3 linked regions of the Nothobranchius furzeri genome follow. The protein of the gene in region 3 purifies or fractionates together with the protein of the main gene of each other region. This does not show direct contact. Links are inferred from orthologs where the notes say so. Each region holds a gene or a part of one and is shown on either strand. Other genes may lie near its edges.

The links. Proteins that work in one complex are often made in the same cells at the same time.
Region 1: the proteins of dcp1b (region 3) and edc4 purify together in Homo sapiens (affinity purification with mass spectrometry; 3 studies listed by BioGRID and IntAct, with this or other methods). This does not show direct contact. The link is inferred for Nothobranchius furzeri from reciprocal best matches to the Homo sapiens genes DCP1B and EDC4.
Region 2: the proteins of dcp1b (region 3) and bag4 purify together in Homo sapiens (affinity purification with mass spectrometry; 3 studies listed by BioGRID and IntAct, counting the BioPlex papers as one, with this or other methods). This does not show direct contact. The link is inferred for Nothobranchius furzeri from reciprocal best matches to the Homo sapiens genes DCP1B and BAG4.

The regions. Positions count from the first base shown.
Region 1 is NC_091744.1:83,067,506-83,071,725, reverse strand, and holds the start of edc4 (enhancer of mRNA-decapping protein 4), read right to left. Parts: upstream 2,801-4,220; 5' UTR 2,678-2,800; coding exon 2,590-2,677; intron 1-2,589. UniProt on the Homo sapiens protein: In the process of mRNA degradation, seems to play a role in mRNA decapping. Component of a complex containing DCP2 and DCP1A which functions in decapping of ARE-containing mRNAs. Promotes complex formation between DCP1A and DCP2.
Region 2 is NC_091757.1:36,774,003-36,777,995, reverse strand, and holds the start of bag4 (BAG family molecular chaperone regulator 4), read right to left. Parts: upstream 2,801-3,993; 5' UTR 2,628-2,800; coding exon 2,541-2,627; intron 2,127-2,540; coding exon 2,007-2,126; intron 1,853-2,006; coding exon 1,631-1,852; intron 1,495-1,630; coding exon 1,225-1,494; intron 1,108-1,224; coding exon 673-1,107; 3' UTR 1-672. UniProt on the Homo sapiens protein: Inhibits the chaperone activity of HSP70/HSC70 by promoting substrate release. Prevents constitutive TNFRSF1A signaling. Negative regulator of PRKN translocation to damaged mitochondria.
Region 3 is NC_091741.1:47,712,272-47,716,560, reverse strand, and holds the start of dcp1b (mRNA-decapping enzyme 1B), read right to left. Parts: upstream 2,801-4,289; 5' UTR 1,978-2,800; coding exon 1,822-1,977; intron 1,410-1,821; coding exon 1,369-1,409; intron 1,039-1,368; coding exon 911-1,038; intron 1-910. UniProt on the Homo sapiens protein: May play a role in the degradation of mRNAs, both in normal mRNA turnover and in nonsense-mediated mRNA decay. May remove the 7-methyl guanine cap structure from mRNA molecules, yielding a 5'-phosphorylated mRNA fragment and 7m-GDP.

The DNA of each region.
Region 1 (4,220 bases), on a different chromosome or scaffold from region 3:
GGTAAAATCGGCTTACGGGGGTTTCACAAGAAATGACAAACACGCAAATTATTTTCCAGATATTTTACACTAACACTGCTTTTGCATTTGACTTCCTGTCTGGCTCATTCTGAACTGAAGAGCTTGACGTGTTTCTGAAGCGTAGCTTATAAAAAAATAGCCCCATTCCCAATACTCGCACTGCGCCCTACGGTCTTCAGCGAAGTGCACAGTAAGGCTTCGAGTGTGTAGTACACAAGTGTGTCTGTGCTACTTTTTAAAAAGATCTTTATTAACAACTTTCAAACAATTTCTTGACAAAATATACATTCACTGCTGTTCACATTAAATCTTATTCTAAACCATGCAGAGAATAAACACATATCATCATTAATTGTCTTAAAATCAAATTATTTTATTTGAAAATATATGGAGCTAGGATTGGGACAATATTCAGCGTAACTTGTACCAAGTTTTGTAACTTCGAACATGTTTCATCACATGTAACTTTGGATTTGTAACTTGTAACTTTAGTTTTCTAACTTGCAATTCTCAATTCGTACTTGTATTTCTTGTTTTGTAACAGGAACGTTGTATTTTGTACATGTATTTTTTATTTTGTAAAAACAAACTTTTACTTTGTACATTTACTACTCATTTTGTAACATCAAACACTGACGCTAGAATCGAGACAAAAAGATCCGTAACTGTAGATTTGAAGTTTGTACCTGTAGAATGAAATGTGTGTTTTGAGAGTTTTGATTTCAAACTTGTACCTTGATTTTTTCCATTTGGAAGTCTGCTAGTTACAAAACGAAAGTTTCATGTTTCTGAATGAATGTTTGATGTTACAAAATGAGTAGTAAATGTACAAAATAAAAGTTTGATCTTACCAAATAAAAAAAATACATGTACAAAATACAACGTTCCTGTTACAAAACAAGAAATACAAGTACGAATTGAGAATTACAAGTTAGAAAACTAAAGTTACAAGTTACGAATCCAAAGTTACATGTGATGAAACATGTTTGAAGTTACAAAACTTGGTACAAGTTACGCTGAATATTGTCCCAATCCTAGCTCCATAAAAATACATATTTTCAGAAAAGCCACTTGAACCACTGTTTTGCCTTCTCAAAATTCCCACGCAGTAATGGATACGGGTAACACCCCTCGCTGAATTTGCATCAGTGCAAACTTGGGCAAGGATACAAGGGACAAAAGAGTCACGGTCAATTTCCACAATTGAGGATCGGGATATCCCACACCACTGCTATTCAATTTCGGGCCTCAAGGGCCGGTATCCAGCACGTTTTGGTTTTAACCCTACTTCAACACACCTGATTTCCATCAGCAGGTGATTAACAAGCTTCTGCTGAGCCTGCTGCTGCATATGTGATTGCAGTACTAGATTACATCCTATGTGTATATATACATGTACCTTTGTTTTTATTTTAATTATCCTCTGAAGTGTGGGTGCTGCTGTAACAAGTTAATTTCCCCACCTTGAGATCAATAAAGTCAAGTCAATTCTACTCAACCACTGAATAAGTGTGTTGGACTAGAGAAAACACTAAAACGTGCTGGATACCAGCCCTCAAGGCCTGGAATTATATAGCTGCCCTACACACTCGCACCCCTGGACTGGAATGCGTAATTAAGGGGCGCAAGTGGGAGTATTTGGATTGGGCCATAGCCTTGAAACAGAATGATAGCGTCCCTTTACTTCTGGGACGTGTCCACAATGTCACACTTGGCTGAATTTGAAAAGGAACCTGTCCACTATAACTGTGGCTAATTGCCATGTAATACGTTTTGCAGCCGTTTTCACAATCAACGGAAAGAATGGGTTATGCAGGTCCAGGAGGCACTATTGAGCATGTTTTGTTTCTCTGCTTCAACACACCTGATTTTAATCAGCATGTGAAGCTTCTGCAGAGCTTGATAGGCTGCTGATTCAACCATTGAATCTGGCTTTATGGAGCAGGAAAACAACAAAACAACTCAGTGTTGCTGGCTATATACATTTACACATACATATAATGCTTTAATGTTAATTGATACGCATTTTTAAAACCTTTTTAAACAGATTAAAGTACTTGTTTTAACGTTTGCACTGTATAAAACATCGAGGTTTATATAGCAAAGTCAGTGGCGCCATGAGCAAACACAACAGTAGCTGAGAGAAATCGAAAGCAGTGACCTACGCAGTTTCAAGAAATAAGCGTATTACCAGTTCATTAAAAATTGCATAGAGTAAACATAATACAAAACGTTTGCCTCAGAGTCTAGACAGCGAACTAAAAACTGACCCACTTTTTCATTGGCTAGCAATTTGTCCCCACCAGAAAATACTGACAGAGGCTAACACCCATACGTAGTCGGCGAACAGAAAAAAAAACAATTAGCGGCTTCGCAGATGCCTCTGCGAAAACGTTTAAGACCTAAATACGTTTAGGTGGGTGTTGTCTACGGTCGGCACTTCGTGAAATGTACAAGAGGGCGATTCTGCTCCGGAAAAGTTCACATTCCGGAGCTTCGCCTGTGGATGTAACATGTTAGCTCTAAGTTAGCTTCCGCGGCCTGCTGGAGCGCAGCAGTCCCACTTACCGGCGCTGCTCCCGGGACGGTCGAGCTTCAGGATGTCGCGAAGATGCTGGGTCGCTCCCTCAATGTCGATGTCAGAATTCGACGCCATGGGTGAGGGAAAAGGAAAACGGGGTAACACTGAGGAGGGAGTTCACTTTAGGTTTAAGGAGACGCTCACCATTCACCCACAGCAACCGTCTAAACTTCCGTTTAGTCCGCGCCTTGCGGGTTCCGACTCACCATCGTGCCATGCCAACATTGGTTCCTACCTCAGAATGTCCATCTTCCATACACCCACGCGTACACATTTACTGTAGTAAAATATATATATTTACAGCAACTACATTTTCAAAACAACCCGTTATTTAACCACTAAGAGCAAGAACTTTTGCAATCGTTTAGTGGTTCAGGCTTTCTTTTTCAGACTGGTATTTGACCATAGTAGGATATTTTTCAGTATATGCTTAAAATGGTTAAAGAGCAAGTCACCTCCTACCAGAGTCTTACTCCACTCCCACTCCTGGCAGACTGAGAGGACGGAGTTGCTACCAAATGCACACAGGGTGTGTATATGCATACTTGTCCGAACTCATGTACTCATGTTCTTTGTGAAATGTCATCAGCGAAGTCCCAAGGACTGTTCCAATCCTGAGTATGCATAAAGGTGAGTTTGCTCAAAGTTCCCCAATGTGTTCTTGTTCCGCCCATTGGATCGAGGATGCATCAATGCATCCTTCTGCGGACTTGGGATAGCAAAGTTTCCCATAATGCATTGCGTCACAAACTGTTAAACTCTGAACGTCAGAGAAAAAGCTAACGACCAATGTTTTATATTACAGTTACAAATAAAACAATATAAAGTTGTGTGTTATTGTAAATGAATGTGTGTAACCTGTACATTTTGCTATGTGTGTTTGAGTTTTACTCTTCAAGAGCCCTGAAAATGCTAATTAGCAAACCCACTATCAAAATAAAAGCAGCTTAGCTCAGTTCTGATGAAAAATAAACTATTTATTCATTAGACTGCGGAAAATGCTAAAATTTTATCAGTTTTGATCAAAGTGGGTCAAATATCATACAAATAATAAATTTAATACAAGTAATATGTTTTGTTGTTATTTAAGGAACAAACTAGACTTTTATTTTTATTTTTTTATGTTCTTTTTTTTAAAGAGCAAGTCAACCCCTGCCAGATTCTTACGTAACTCCCACTTCCTGTTTGAAAAATGCAACAAATGCTGTTGCCTAGCAGACCGAGAGGGCGGAGCCTCTAACAAATACACACACTCACGACATTGTGACATCATAATGTACCATCTAACATCATAGATTACCTTTTAGCCAATAGTGATGGCAGATTTAAATTCAAATGCAGTGCTGAGTTTTTGCCTGACGACAGTGCATCGCTGACAGTTTTAGGCAAAATATTTAAATTTTATCTAAGATGCACTAAAGTGCCAAATTATGGACTACATTTGTCTACAGCACAATTGGACACTCATTTATTATCAGCAATAAAAATGGTGATTTGGAGTGACTTTCTCTTTAACTGTAGCAAGAAGCAGCGCTTGTTGCCAGGACACAACAGAGTATGGTTCTGTTCCAAATGCCGTCTTCGTCCTCTACTACTTGGTAGAACAGACTTTCTGGTG
Region 2 (3,993 bases), on a different chromosome or scaffold from region 3:
GGGATAACGAGGACAGCAATCTGTGGGGGTTTTCACTAATCTGCTACACTCTGGCCTCAATAATTGGCTCTGAAATACGACTGAGGGCTTATCTGTCATTTCAGAACGTGCAAGACTAGGAGCACAACAGAAACGGAGAGGAAGCTGACTGAATCCATCACAAGAGAGAAGAATATTATGATCATGCAAACGGACTAAAATGTTGCTTGTGAAGTGATTGTGTTACTATCAGATCAGACTAAAAACCGAGCCACATTCCTGAGGGGCAGTCTGAACATTTATCAAGAGTTCAAGACCACAAACAGCTGCAATGTGGCACAAAACAAATTCTAACAGCTGGGATTTTGTCATTAAAGGCGTGATGTAAAAAGTAAAATGTGCAACAGTGTCAGCACATTCACGAGTGGAGGCTGAAAATCACTTATGACATACAAAAAAAACAATTCTTGTGTTTAACACCAGCAGACATACTACCTAGAGAATGTTTCCAGTCTTGGATAACTGCTCCACCTTGTTGTTTGTTTCATGTCTAAGATATTTTATAACATTGAGGTGGGAGAAAAAAAAAACAACATTACACCTTTACAGAAGAAGATTGAACCTTCAATTATTCCATGGAAGATCTGAAAAAGGAAAAGACAGCAACCCATGGGGAAATAGAGGAAGTCCAGTTCAGAAAGCTTTCCTCTCCAGCTGGTCCAGAATGGTCTGGATTCTCTGAACAGCCTCTTTCCGGGCTTGACGAACACTCTCCTGTCCCTGAGTCTCCACAGAGTCTAGCTCCAGCAGCTCTTTGGTCAACAGTTCCTCTAGACACCGGTAGCTCTTGTCAGTTTTTTTGCCGACAAACTCATCAACATCTTCCTGAAGCAGCTGGACTCTGACCAGAACCTGCTGGACTTTAGCAAGCCCAGGATTGTCGCTCAGGGGCTGAGGTCCGGCAGGACCAGGAGCTGGTGGAGTCTCAGATTGTAAGGGGTTGGGATCGCTTCTCCCATTCTTGTTGTAAATCTGGGGAGGCGAACTTATTTCAGCAGGCTTTCCATTGGTTGAATTTGGAGACAGTGCTGGTCGGGGTTTCGGTCCCACATGAGGGGCGCGCTGGTCCTAGAAGAGAAAGTGGAATTTACCTGATTAAATTCCCGGCTCTTAAGTCATTTTTGTTTGATTAAAAAAGAAAAAGCAAAATGCACAAACTACAGAGAAAAAGCAGCGGACTCTTACTTTAGGCTGATAGGGTGGTGGAGCACCAGTTCCAGTACCAGGCCACGCTGGGGGATGTGGCGGTCGGACAGGGTTACCATAGGGACTTTGTGAAGGCTGCTGTCCATGCTGCCACTGTTGTGGTGATGGAGCATACTGACCTGAGTGACCCCAAGCTTCAGCCTGAGAGGTGGGATGGGGAGGCTGCCCAGTGGGATATGGTGGATTTGGAGGAACTGCATGTCCACCTTCACTGTAGTGTGAATAATGCCCTTGAGGATATCCAGGACCCTGAGGGCAAAAGAAACAAACCACTTGTTTTCCAAACAATACTCTAGTCATATTTCTACCAGTACTGGCTACATTTAGGGTTGATCTCCCACCTGGCATCTACTAGCTATGTGAAAACTTGCAAAAACCCACTCACGCCTTGACAGTGTGGGCCAGGATAGTGATGGTGTTGGTGCTGAGGGTATGGTGGCCCAGAAGCCCCACTACCCTGCTCTGTAGCACAGCCTTGGTTGGGATAAGAATTTCTTGGATGGTCAGCACAGTAGAAGGGGTTTGATGCGTGGAAACTGCTTGTTGAATACTGACTTTGTGCAGGGCTGTAAACTCCGTGGCCATTTGGATATCCTCCAGGCATCAGCTACACGAACAACAAAATAAGAGACGCAATGAGTAAAAAAAAATGTACTTAACATAAAGATAAACATATTAGGTAAGACCAAGGATTCTATTGACCTATCATCCTATTAGCTGTGGCTTAGAGAGGATAGGTTGTATTGCACAAGGAGCTGTACCTGTGGGTTGTACTGCTGCTGAACATCTGATCCAGAGGGATAGGTGTTTGCATAGTGCCCAGTGGAATGAGACTGTGGATACCAGTAATGTGACGCATATCCTGGATACTGAGGAGAATCCTGTTAACACAAGAGATATTTTTTATAACTAATAAAAGAAAACACCCCAAACATTATCTTTAAGTCCAACAATTAACTTTAGAGTCAACATTCTTCTTTCAACGTGGCTGTGTATCCTTGAAGGGACGATAAATAAATACAAAAAGTATAAATTAAACATCACTGCCGCTGAAATTTTGGTGTCTCAAAAGATTTATTATCAAGCTGAAAATATAAAAACAGTTAGCTTAACTAGCTCGTGCTATTACATAACGCCAACTAGCCAAGTTAGCCACTCCGCTAACACGAGCAACGCTAGCTAACTCGCTTCCGGTATGACTTATATACTAATTGAAGTCGGTTTTAGTCGATAATAAACTCATGAACTTTTTATTGTAGCCGTTGAACTTATCTGTGTCGTTTTCGTCTACTCACCATGTTGTTACTCCAGGTTCCGTGCTGATTTTCCGAGTTACAAGTAGAGGGCCAGTCTGGTTTAAGATTTGAATGCATTTGGTGCATCAGCTACGCGCATTCCCCATCCGCAGTCCCCTTGAGCAGCATTTTCCATAAATAAACCTTTAATAAGATAAGAGTTACTGGTCTAAAACACCAGCAAGTCCAAGGTGTTTCTACTCAGAAGTACAAATCGTCTGATTGAAATCAGGAAATGAGTCAATGACGCGAGGCTAGGGGAAACCCAAGCCTGTCTCTTTAAAACAGAGATTCGTCAAATATTGAGATGCTTCACGCCGATGCCAATTTCTGATAGTGTTAACGTTACTGCGGGGTCAGCATTGCCACGATCAAATAAACATTTCTTAAAACTAAAATTATCACAACTATGACATCAAAGGAGTGGTTACGATGCAAGTGGATTGGAAATATAATCTCATTCATAAATTTTAAGACTAAAACTAATTTTTCCCACGATATACGATCTTTGTCTAAATGAAAAACCCAACCACTAATGAAAACAAATATAATTTTTTTGTGAAATTAAATGCGACACTAAAGTGTTTTTAAAATATTAACTTGTTAAAAATCATAATATTGTCTTCAGGATATTAATATAAAGGATGAAGAGTAGAAATAATTATATTTATAAAATAACAATAGTTACTTAGAAATATTTCTGTAAATTCGCATTTTGGGGTCAGCAACCACAGACATATAGACCGTGTCACTCACTCTAACAGTCTTTTCGATCATTATTTAGCTAGAATTAAAGGTAAAACTGTACTTAGAATGGTGTGGAGTCCAAGGGCTAAGTTAGCTGGTTAGCTACAGCGCTACAAACTTTTACACTGAACGAGGAGGGTTTTTGGCGCCGTCCAGTGGCATCAAGCTAGAACTACACTTATTCCATTTTTAGTTCTTTTTTATAACACAGAAAATGTTTTTTATTTTATTTTTTTTTTTTACCTTGCTGACAGTTTCGTTTGCCGACTGTAAAACATTAGCAGTCGGCAAACAAAACTGTCAGCAAGGTTATAAAAAAACAACTAAAAATGGAATTAGAAACTAGACACAGCAAGTCTTTTGAAAGAGATTGGGAGATGGGGAGCGAGCGCCCTCCAGTGGCAAGAAGATTGAACTACACGTTAGTTCAGTTAAACCCGAAAAACGACGTAATCTTTGTTTTTGTCTTCTTGGGAAAATGAACATGAAGGATGAACGGTAGAAATACAAAAATGAACTATATTCATACAGTTACAATAGTTACTCAGTACAAATAACTTTAAATTGTTTAAAAAATACAATGGGATGTTGTTAGCAATAGGGGAGCTACTCTAAAAGTCTTTTTTCTCCCATTATTTAGCTAAAAACATTTAAAACTGTATTTATGTATAGATGGTTGTCTGGAGTCAAAGGGCTAGACCCAGCA
Region 3 (4,289 bases):
GCTGGCTGCTTTTGTAGTGCTGTCAGACTCTTTTCCCACAGGCACACTTGGAAATGTGATTGTGTGAGAGGGCGCCTAATGTGGGTCTCAAGGAAAGTCAGGCTGATAAAATTTACTAAAATGTCCCGGCTTAGCTCCTTACATGGAGCTCCCACTCAGATGATCTGACTAACTACCCTTTCTGAAAGTTTCATAAGACTTTCTTACAGTAGAAAAGAAATGTCATTGTGACGTGGAAATGCTCTCACTTCTGACAACTTACACCAGCAATCTGAGCAGTAGTTTGAAAGCAATTTAAAAAGCAAGAAGCATTTAAAAAAAAAAGGCAATTATACCACTGATCCACCTGTCAACCACATCCATAATATGACAGAAATTACAAGTGGTGTTTTTTTGTCTGTGAAATTGTTTTATAAAAATCCTTCAAAACAAAGAAAATGATGATCGAACCTTTATGAGTAGTTGAGGTGAAATTCTGTTAGCTTTTAAAACAAAACAAAAGTATCTTCATTTCAGTTCATCCTTTAAAATTTAAATCTGGTGAGCTTACTAAAACTATATCTAATTCAAATTTAATTTCTTTCTGTGATTAATTGTTTTCCAATTAAAATTTTATTTGAATTAGAAATAGGCCTTCTTCTAGCTCGTATGATAATACTGAATTAAAACCATTTTTGGAATACAGTAAGCATGAATAAATACATGTATAGAAAATGAAAATAGAAAGAAACACACATATAGTAGAAATTCTGCTCATTTAGAGGAATGAAAGGCTATAATAAACATGTATGTGCATTCACAAGGTCTAAAATAATTAAGAAATACACACAACTTGGAAATACTCTAAGGTATGTGTTAGTAAGGTGCATCAAAACTATGTAAACATGTATTTGTGTGCATTAGGCCTTACAGCGTGCATTGCGGTAAAGCAGAAAAGGGTCCTGGAGCTGGAAGTCTAAATCTTTTGTGATGGGCTCTGTTAGATTCTCCATGCTGAGTCGATTCATGATGGTGAATCCATGCCTGGGAGATGCAAGTCTGTAAGGCGAGGAGGATGCAGCAGAAAAAAACCCAGTACCATCAGATATAATGAACAAACATAGGATTATCATGGCAAACCATATGTATATATACCCATATCTCTGATATTATGTCTTTACACTGCACCACTAAGTGTTACAAAACTTACATTTCTTAAAGGTACTCTATCGACCAAGTAAACACAAATCTTACCAAAGGGAAAAGAGAATAAATGGCAGAATAGGATTACAACAAATAAATCCTAATCCCAGCAGTAAGTATGGTGGTAGAATCATTAGTTTACTTATTACTGTAAAAATCACGTAGTTTTAAACGTAAAAACGTTACCTTGTGTAGATAAAAAGGGTGCCTTCCACTTCTGTCTTCTCCTAAAGAAAAACAAGGAACGTGTTGGGTTCTCTCTTCCATTTTTCCACATTTACCATCCGTTTATAAATAATACATTTACTACAAGAGCGGTAATATTTCTCTAAAGTGGTATAAGTTTAAATGTTCCATCATCGCAGTCTGGAGAACAAACAAAACTCAAAAGTATGAGTCAGATTATTTTCCACGACTAAGACCATAACCTTTTCCGTGTATAAAATACAATGCACTATTGTAGATCACTTATAACACACGTCAGCGTTTTTATTTAGTTTAGCATTCGCAAACAGTTTTTTAACATGAACTTACTCCCTGTTGTTAGTGTGTAATGACAAAACGCGCCTGCCAGTTGAAGCAAAGCTAAGCTAGCATATGGCATCTTTTACTAGTAGAAGAAAATATTTTCTGACTTACCCACTCATTTGTCCTGTTGTTATAAGTATACAGAGCAACTTGGCTGGCCACGTCAACAATGTTATTAATGTAAGGATCTTGTCGCTGCAGGGCAGCCAAACTTATATCCAGTCCTTTTGCAGTAAGGCAGCTAATACTAGCTGCAGGAGTCGTCATTGTTTCCTATGAAGACGTTAGCCAGCTAACTAGCTTTAGCGTCAATCGAGTTAAAAGCAAATTAAAACTGAACCAACGACGAGATAAAAATCAAGGTCATCGATAGATGTAAAAAAATTTAAATAACTCGTTAAAATTGTTTTTACAGCCTTTGAGCTTTAGCTATCACGGACTCTAAACTGCCATGTTTAGCCAAAACACTTGTAAACAACTTAGGCGTGAGTAGTTGCGCGGAAAAACTTCAAGGCTGAATAATCGACTCCGAGAAATCAATAGAGATACCGCGTCAAAGAACCGCGCGGGATGCAACTGAAATCGTCCTCAAAGCGACCCCATAGTCAGGCTCTTAATGATCCCTGCATGTTTTTATATACAATATTTTTTCCAACGATTATCTTTTATTTTTTGCCTATCATTTGTAAACTTATGGCTCCATATAAATTAACGGATACTCGTTAATTTAATTCATAAATAATATTAACACCAAAAACCAACATGAATAATTTAAGCGCCCATCCCATGTTTAGAAGAACACTCTTCCATGTGGCCATGCGTCAGGCAGTAAACACTGCTCTTTTGCAATACATTTGTTTCTCCAGCCAATAAAGCGATCTGACCATTTTACTAGCACTTTAAAGAGCAAGTCACCCCCTACCAGAGTCTAACTCCACTCCCACTTCATGTTTGAAAAATGCAACAAATGCTGTTACCTGGCAGACCAAGAGAGCGGAGCCGCTAACAAATACACACACACAGGCTCACAACAGCATTGTGACATCATAATGTACCAGTTTATATCATAGCATACCTCTTAGCCAATAGCTGTGGCAGATTTAAATTCAAATACAGTGCAGAGTTTTTACCTGACAACGGCGCAGCACTGACAGTTTTAGGCAGAATATTTCACTTTTAACTAAGATGCACCGAAGTGCCAAATAATTGACTACACGTGTCTGCAGCACGATTAGACACTTCTTTATTTAGTTTATCAGCAAAAAAAGTTGATTTGGGGGTGACTTGCTCTTTAAGTGAGTTATAATGGTATATCTGTTTATTACTCCCAGTAGAATCAAGCAGGTAATGAATGCACCTTTGTTTATTCCCTCCTGACTGAAAGAATGGCAGGCCGACTGACTGAGGATGTTTTGCAGTCGGCAAATGAAACGTTAGCAAGGTAAAGAGAAACCTTTCCTGCGTTTTAAAAAGAACCAAAAATGGAATTAGAAACACACAGTAAGAACACACCAAAGAGGCCTTAATAATGCCCAATCCACTGTTATAATTCCTAATGATACCACTGGAGGGCACCAAAGGGATTTCTAAAACGCTTCAAAATTTTAATGTTTGAGCTTCTGGGTGTGTGTGAAGCCTCAATACCACTTTTGATAAGGCCCAGAACAGTAAACAACAGTCTAAACAAGCTAAACTTCATTTCATTGGATACTCACTTTTTTTGAAACAACTACTGAAGTTTATTTCAGACGCATTATACTTTTTAACAGCTTTCAGTGCCTTGTTGGACCCTGACTGCAAAACTCATTCTCTTAGATGACTTTAACCAACTCCAGCTCTCTACTAAATAACCATAGAAATTATTCCAGTATTATTATTTTTTATTATATTATTATTTCTTCAAATGTACAGCTCCAAACTCTCACATTAACAATTATTCAGATTTTAACTCAAGACCTGGTCCTGAGTCTTTACCGACTGTATTCCCTACACTCCAACTCCATATGATCAGTCTCTCTAATGCCATTTCTATGGTCTTATTTCTGCACAATTTGTTTGTCTATTAATAAAATATTAATTTGTCTATTAATAAAATACGTGTAATAAAAACATTATATTTCTTTTCCTTTATACGTATTTTATTAATAGACAAACAGACAGTTATAAAAGATAAAAAAAAATAACACAATTATGAGGAAGAGAAAGACTGATCAAATGCTGGAGATGCTCTTTGATTGTAAAATGTCCCAATCTTGGTGTTCTATTTTCATCTTGCCCAGGGAAACCAAACAAAATCACTGGCAGTCAACCCAACATCTGGATTGGGAACACTGGGCAGTTTATAAAACAAATAAAATTGTTTCTAAAGTAATTTTTTATGCAAATTGCAAAATGACCAAAGTAGTTCTAGTGTTAAGATGACTTTTGCTGGGAAACAACATTAGAAATAGTCTGAATTGAAGATTTTAGATTTCAGGAAGGTGACACGTCTTTCCTGAAAATAATATTCAAGGATGGAACAGTAACAGACACAAGAAGAACATAACTTTCTGTGATATGAATATTGCATTTCCGTAGCC